Linked DNA regions of Cricetulus griseus. The protein of the gene in region 1 interacts with the protein of each later gene in a pairwise test. Links are inferred from orthologs where the notes say so. Each region holds a gene or a part of one and is shown on either strand. Other genes may lie near its edges.

The links. The genes of interacting proteins can lie anywhere in the genome.
Region 2: the proteins of bystin (region 1) and Mid1 interact in binary tests that used the Homo sapiens proteins (3 or more experiments, as listed by UniProt). The two-hybrid records come from large-scale screens. The link is inferred for Cricetulus griseus from reciprocal best matches to the Homo sapiens genes BYSL and MID1.

The regions. Positions count from the first base shown.
Region 1 is NW_023276806.1:255,579,858-255,583,966, reverse strand, and holds the start of bystin, read right to left. Parts: upstream 2,803-4,109; 5' UTR 2,707-2,802; coding exon 2,442-2,706; intron 1-2,441. Other genes in the region: mediator of RNA polymerase II transcription subunit 20, read left to right, coding at 3,212-3,225. UniProt on the Homo sapiens protein: Required for processing of 20S pre-rRNA precursor and biogenesis of 40S ribosomal subunits. May be required for trophinin-dependent regulation of cell adhesion during implantation of human embryos.
Region 2 is NC_048604.1:104,293,821-104,297,865, forward strand, and holds the start of Mid1 (E3 ubiquitin-protein ligase Midline-1), read left to right. Parts: upstream 1-1,243; 5' UTR 1,244-1,373; intron 1,374-4,045. UniProt on the Homo sapiens protein: Has E3 ubiquitin ligase activity towards IGBP1, promoting its monoubiquitination, which results in deprotection of the catalytic subunit of protein phosphatase PP2A, and its subsequent degradation by polyubiquitination.

The DNA.
Region 1 (4,109 bases):
ATCATGACATAGTCTTACTACTAATTATGAATGTTTGGCCTTAGCTTTAGGCTTGTTTCTGCTTAGCTTTTTAATTGAAATTAACCCATTTCTATTAGTCTATGTGTTGCCCTGAGGCTGTTCTTCTGTCTCTACCTCCCAAGTGTTAGACAGTGTGGTCCATGTTTGTAATTCTAACACTGAACTCTTGGTTTGTTTGTTTTTGTTGTTGTTTTTGAGAGACAAGGGTCTGACCATGTAACCTTGGCTGGTATGGAACTTGCTCAAGCTCACAGAAATCTGTCTGCCTCTGCTTCCTTAGTGCTCAGATTTAAAGTCACGTGCCAATACACCTGGCTGACTTTTGAAACACCACACATAGCTGGCAAAGACCCTGGAAGAGTCTAACAAACCAAAGGAGTTGAAATATTATATAACAACAGGTCATTTGCAACAGAATTGGACTAAGGGTACACATAGCTCAGGAGAGTACGCAGAGCATGTCCAGCGAGACCCATGTTTTGTTGGTTTTTTTTTTTAATTTTGTTTTAGACTTATATACACTATTTTATGTGTATGCCTGTGAGTCATAAATGTCCCTGGTGCCCAAAGAGGTCAGAAGAGGGCATATGAGCCCTTGGAATTGGAGTTATAGATAGCAGTGGTCTGGCATGTGAATACTTGGAACCAAACTCTCGTCTTTCTGAAAAAATAAGTGCCTTTTTTTGGTTTGTTTTTCGAGACAGGGTTTCTCTGTGTAGCTCTGGCTGATTGGAGCTCACTATGTAGACCAGGAAATCTGTCTTCAACCCCCTAGTTCTGGGATTACGAGCTGCTGTGTATTGAGGTCAGGGGCTCTTGCTTCCAAAGCATGTATTTCACCAACTGAATTTTCTCATCACCTCCCTAGCATCTGGTCAGCAGAGGTGGACCCAACAGGTTGTCACTGATCACTAGCTGACGAATGGATTACAGACGTTAGAGAACAGTAAATGATGATGCTCCCACAGTGATTCAAGGGAACTCAAACAGGAGGATGTTCCAAGCTAAGGAAGTGGATATATCCTGAAGACACAAATCATCAGGGTTTACTGACAAACCTGATGTAGAATGAGAAAGAGGAGCCTTGAGCAAGGGGAGGCTAATGTGCTAAGAGACTCCATGGAGCAAGCAGTGAGATGTCAGGTAGACAGGTGGATATAGGGATGTTAGTTTACTGAAAGAACTATGTCTGAGAGAAAAAGCTGGGAGTAGTCATCAAATGCATGGTTTCAAACCGGAATCTGCAGACAGCAACACAGGAAAACCTAAAACTCAGGCCTGCTCTGGTCACAGAGCAAGTTCAAGTCCCGCATGAGTAACTTAAGGAGACACAGTATCGTAATTTAAAAACAAAAATTTAAGGGCAGGTGTGGTGTCAAATATCTATATTGCCATCAGTTGGAAAAACAGAGGCAAAAATCAGTAGTTCAAGGTCATCCTCACCTACATACAGAGTTTGAGGCCATCCTGGGAATGAGACCCTACCTCAAAACAAGGAAGTAAAGCTACTATGGCCCTAAAGCCATATTCAATCATCTCAATACTGCTTTTAGAATAAGAAGGCAAGACTAAGAAACTGGAGGTCAACCTTCCCAATGAGACAAGTATCAGGTACTTTCCCACTCATCTCTGCCGCCCACCCCCACTCGATTCTAAACTGTTTTCCTGCCTCGGTTAATGGAACATTTCCCATGTTTTTTATATCTTAGTCGGCAGGGCACAAAACTGGGGTGCCTGGCCTGTTGAATTAATGGCGGGTTTGTTGTTGTTGTTTTGAATAGGAATATATTCATTTTCTTTTACTGTCTCGATCGATAGAGGTATACCATGTATATCAGGCTGATCTGGACCTTACTATGTAGTCCACGAGGGCCTTCTTCTGCCTCAGCTTCTCACCTGCTGGGATTACAGGCGAGCACCGCTGCTCATTGCTGGAATATGTTACTCTATTTAATATTCTCTGCCTTGGGGTAGACTTCCGGTGCTAAAAGCAAGGACGAGTACATTGTTTATTTCGGTATCAGAACTGCCTAAACTCTTTTTTATTGGGGGGGGGGGTTTCAAGACAGTGTTTCTCTGTGGATCGAACTCACAGAGATCAGCCTGCCTCTGCCTCCCGAGTGCTGGGACTAAATGTGTGTGCCACCACCGCCCGGCTTAGAACTGCCTGAACTCTTAACACAGTTCAAAGCATTGCACAGGAAACACAGTCATACTTCACAAGCCCAGAGAATAAATACTGGAACTTGGTGTGAGTGATTACTTCCTGTTGGAACTCTGAGGTAGGTTCCAGAAGGTACGCGTTGAAGTGAAGGACCACGCGGGAAGGAAAAACTGCCTCCTCTTTGTAATTCCAAACCCGTATCCGGATGGACTGAGCTAGTCCGGCCCATGCCACCACTCCAGCCCGTGTCACTCACCCAGCCGCGTGGCGCGTTCCCGTGGCTTTGCAGGCTGGTCTGCAGTCCCGTGTTCAGTCTCGAGCTCCTCCTGCTGTTGCCTGGCTTGCTGCAAAATGCGTCTGCTCAGCCGGGGTCCAACATACTCTTCCTCCTCTTCAACCCCGCGTCCCCGCCGCTTGTCTCGGGTCCCCGCGCGCACTGCATTCCCAGCCAGAATCTGCTCGGCCAGAGGTGCATGCTTCTCCTGATTCCGGGCCCCGCGGGCCACCTTCAATTTGGGCATTTTTCTCGAAAAACTTGCCGATGCTACTCACACGTGGGAAGCCGGTTTAAAACTAGGACTGTGTCTGCGCCCTGTGTTCCGGTGCTCGGGAGGTCACCGAGAGTTCACAGCGCCCCCCAGCGTTCGGAGGCCGGAAGTGCCTCATATACCGCCATCTCTCCAGGAGCTCCGGGGCGGGAGCTGGACTCCCCAGATTCTCAGGTAATCTCATTGTACGGAAGTGGGTGGATGTCCCAAGTCACCTTTTCCAGACAGAATTCATGAATGTAGCCTGAGAGGTCCTGTCAAAGCAAAGCGCGCCCTGGGGGCGGAGCCGGGCTGATGACGGAATTCGTTCATCGCTGGAGCGCCCGGGCACGCCTCCCTTCTGTGGGTGTACCGCTCTGGCGCTCAGATTTTGCGTATTTCCGGAGCCTGCATCCTGCTTTAGGCGGCTCTACCTCCAGGGGCCTCTGGATCCCTTGACTTCGAGTGTTTGGCAGTGCCACCCCTTTGACCCTGCGCCATGGGAGTGACTTGGTAGGACTGCAGGGGCTCTTGTGGGACGGAGCTTGGGGTCGTGAAGGCCCCAGGAGGGGGATCGGGACGGAAGCTCTCGGTTCCTCGCGGGCTGACAAAGATGTCCTCGGGTCGTGTTGCAGCAAGGGACGCCGTGTGGTGCTTCTTCCTTCCCAGGCGCATCCTTTTGGCAAAGCCAACTCTTCATTCCAGGAACCTGTCAGGAGTCGTACCTTCTTTTTCTTGGTACTTCTTCATGTCCGTCAGGCCATAGTATTGTCGCCAATAGGACCTAAAAGTTGGGAATAGGCTTTCGCACTAAGAATTATTTGCAGGCAGCGATAAAAAAGAGGGGGGCGCTCTAGGAGAAAGTGACTTTTACATTTTGCTTGCAGTAATAATAGCCTGGCTTTAATTTGGTCTAATGTCAGAGGGAGAGGAAAAGGAGCTGTTGGAGGTTTGGAGGTCGGGGTTCCAGGCACATTAACTATCCAAGAATCACTTCCTACATGTTTGAGTCAGGTTTGGGTTTTTTTTTGTTTTTTATCTGAAACGTGTTTTAAATCTCACTTGGAAAAAGAGAGGTGATTGGTAATGTCTGGACACCGTGCTTTTCTTCAGGGCATTAATTCCAAAGTACTAGGCTTCAGCACGTTAAAAAAAATCTTGGTAGTGGTGTGTGTCTTCCCAGCTGTTCTGTATAATGTGTGTGTGGGATGTTCTTCAGGAAACCCAGGCTCTTGCAGGGTTTTTAGTGACTACTATACGTGCAAATTAGTTGACACCAGGAGCCTTATCTCAACCTCATCACACCGTAAAAAGTACCTGTCAGCAGTGAAAATAGAAATCACAGCAGAGTCACTGGGCCCTATAAAACATTTCTGTATATGTTTTTATGGGCTGTC
Region 2 (4,045 bases), on another chromosome or scaffold:
GCTGGCCTCAGTCACTGCCAACATCCATTGTCTCTCCTTTCTGAATCAGGGAATCAAAACAGCACTAAGGTATTTTTAATGGCATTGTCACTACTCTAGGAGAAGTCAGCTGGTGGGCACAATAAGAACAAGTGATTCTTTTAAGGATTGCTTATACTTATTACACAGTCTTCATCTCCATTAAAACATAGGAAAATCTTACATCTTATTGCATCTACTTCTTACTAAGTCTTTAGTGGAATGAATTACAATGAAAAAGAATTACTACTTTACTATGATGTTTAAAAGTATAGAGAAAGAATCAAGTATTACGAAATCTACATGTATCATATTTTAAACTGTATTTCAAGCTACAGTTAAGCCTCCCATCTATAGAGTTCACTTAAAGATCTATTTCTTATCTTCTTAAATCAGTGAAATTGCTTAAGACTTTTTTTTACATATAGCCATGCAAATTCACAAATCTTGTATTTCTTTTTTGACACAATCAAATAATATGTTGGTTAGGGAAGATTACTGCTGCAATAGATATAATCAAACTGGTATTTCACCCTTCAAAAATACAATAGCAATCACTGTCTTGTAAAGCAAATAAACATCAAATATTTATATTGTATTATCTACTAAAGTCCTGGGAAAGTTGTTGAGTAAGTTAGTTGCTATGCTCAAATAAGTCAGTTGTGCCTTGTTTCATGGAAGTTTATTCTCTTCTCGTTCTCTTTCTGTCATAAGATTTACCTCTTTGAAAATAATCTCAAAATAATATTCCCTATTTTTAAAATCATGAAAGACAAAATGTGATATCCTATACTTTGATTTTTCCCCTTCAGTGCTTTCTGATAATATAAGGTTGGTCACAGTGCGTGATATAAAATACTAGTTGTTAACTCTCAGTTACACTAAAGGGGCCAATTTTTTGCAGACTGCCAGGATAAAGATGATTTTAATTAAATCCCACAAATCCCTTTGTACTGCAACCAAACCCTCTGCAGGCCAACTGTCTCTGAGTCCTTCTGGCATGTATAGAGTTAATCAGGTTACGGGGGGGGGGGGAGATCCTAGTTAACTTCTTCCACCAGGAATGCAATTCATGTTTACCTATATAAGGAAACCTGTTAGGCTGACCTGAGTTTGGCATATTTTTTTTTTTTTTGCTCTGACTGAGAGGCATGTAAGCACACACCCTGGAGAGGGGGAGCGATTCCCAGCTGGACAGAGCAAGCTTCCTGAACGCCCCAGCCATTCAGCTGATCCGAGGCGAAGAGCAGAGCTGGTACTTGCCCGGAGCAGCCTGCTTGGCGGACCCACAGGTTTGCCTCTTCCAGCTCTCAATTGAGGGACAAACCCCCATCCTGGGAAAAATGGGGAAGCCGGTGAGTTTTACTGCTCTCTCTCTCTCTCTGCTTGCTTCTGCTAAGGGGCACGCCTCGCTGCTCTCACCCAGGAAGCAGAGGGAGAGGCGTTGCTCAGCCTCTAACCCCACAGCTCCTTCCTGAACAAACACAATGCTTTGCCGCGTACCTCCAGCTAACTTTCTCTGCGGGCTTTGCACATCAAAAATCTACCGAGGCAGTAATTCTAGCACCTTAGACATCCCAGAAAGTGTTTTTACTGAGCAAGAGTTTCCAGACCACCGTGATGAGCAAACTTTCTCATCTTTCTTGCGCTCTGAAACAGTGCAGATGAGTTTACGGGGGTGCTTGGAGAGAAACGCTGAATCCCCAAGGAAGTAAGAATAAATCTTAGAGAGTTTCTTAAATCCACAGGCAGGCTGATAGTCTGCGGAAACAGAATTTGTCATTTAAAAAGGCAGTTTGAAGCTATAATTTTTCATTCCCGAGGAGCAAAATACTTGGATCCTGTACGTGTAATAAAGGACACCTTCTGAGACACCGAGGAGAGAAAGAAGCAGAGCTGGCTCCTTTGTTCTAGACAACAACGTATAGAAATTCACTGTTGCATTTTGACAACTAGCATATGCCTGCTTATATATAAGGTGGAAGTGATGAATAAGGCATTATGTCAAGGGCACTGTGGTCAATTGAGTTAAAAATTGGCTGTGCTCTACACATATATAAAACTCTCAGTCTGAATGTAATTAAATATGGGAATGTGAAAGTACTTAGCAAACTTAGAGGGAAATTTAACTTACTACTTGGGAATAGTCAATTATAAAAGGCAACTTGTGAAAGGAAATTTGAAAAACCAAAAACCTGTTTCCACAAAGTTCTGAGGCATAGGTAAAAGTTAAAATGAAAGTTTTCTTATACTTGTCAAAAGTGATTTGAAGGTACAAATTTGTAATTTTTATTTTTGTAAGGCAAGGTGATTTTTTTGAATTGAGTTACTTTGGATAGTTTTGCTAAATGGTGTGACTGCTTATCTTTCAAAGGAACATTGTTCTTTTCTGTCACACACAACACTTAATTCTAAAAATTTGTGCAGTAGCGATTTTGCTACTGACTGCAACAGGTGGCAATGAGGACCTGGTTGCAGATTTGCAATGATGAGGATTAATTTCCTAAATTAATATAAAGGAAAGTAATTGATGCAAAAATGTTTTGAAAGGAGAACACTTTTATTATTAATTGCTAATAATATTCCACTTTTCTACTTGTAGCAAGACTATTGTCTTAATATAGATTGGCAGCTGGCTAGTCATACGGACAAATCTCTGGCCAATTTTACTTAGGGTCCTTGATTCTAAACAGTACAACTATGCTCAGTAACACAGTTTAAATGCTGCTTGCTTACTGCGGTGAGAAAAAAGTGGGAAAGAATCATATATTATAAGGGAGACATTTTATTAAATAAAATTCTAAATAACAGGAGCAGTGAGGGAACAATGCAAATGTTTAAAGCTTGTTATCTGCACACTACTGCTAGGGGGGCAATGGGAGTCTTAATATTGTGCTGCTATCAGTGGGAGTGAGTAGCCCAGGAGACACAAAACACTATTTTAAAATATACCCTTAATAACAGATGGTTTAATACCAGGTTGTCTCACCATGCTGCCGATGAGATGGCCCCAAGCCAAATCAACTGGCATGTCTACCGTTTTTCCTGCGAGTGGATGTGTACATTGTTATTACATACTAATTACATTAACAGCCAAGGGAATATATAACCAGGAAGACATAAGAGTCTCCTGAGCCACAGAGGGTGAGGGTCTTTACAAGGATTTTGAATTTCACACTTAGAAACCTCCTTGCCTGTGACATGAGTTGCTGCAGATGATTGGAAATGTTATCTGTAGAATCTATGCATCCCAGGCTCCTTACAAGCTCATTTTGGGGTAACAATGCTGATTATGGAATGGGACACTTCAGAATTATCAGAGTTCCGGGTAGATTTCATCTTGAAGATTAAATTCATTTAGTGTTTAAATTGTTCTCCAATAAAACACAGTTAGGATGCTACATTTTTACATTAACCCTTTCAAGTCACTGGTAATATGTTCTGGTGTGAAGGGCGCAACATCCTTAAAACTATGAAAAGGTTTTCCTGGGTTTTGAAATTAAAAAAAAAAGACTAAAGAATTCTGAGCAAGGGAAGGGATAGGTCTTCTGATAACTTTGATATGTTCATAAGTTGTGAATTTGTAAAAGCAATGTGGTATGCAACCTACAAAGCACAGTTAGCTACAAACTTACTAATAGTTCCTGGACCAGGCTTCTTTTTGTGGGGGTATCTGGTTATATCAGGACACATTCTTTAAGAAAAAGCTAGCCAGAAATTGAGAACATGGGAAGAGAGGGAAGAAGAGGAAGGATGTAGACGTCATGAGGGAGCAGAAAGATTGAGTCAGAGGAAGAATAGAAGAAAGGGCATGTGATAGGAAGGGTTTTAGTTGGGGGAGGTGGTAGGGGAAAATGGGTGGGAGAAAGGAACTGGGATTATCATGTAAAACAATCTTGTTTCTAATTCAAATAAAAAATGATTAAAAGAAAAAGCTAGCCAGTAGATGGGGTGCTGAGCACTGCTCAAGTGAGTTGCACACATGCCTACTTGTTTATATTTCTTGGCATGTTGTCTATCGAGCTGG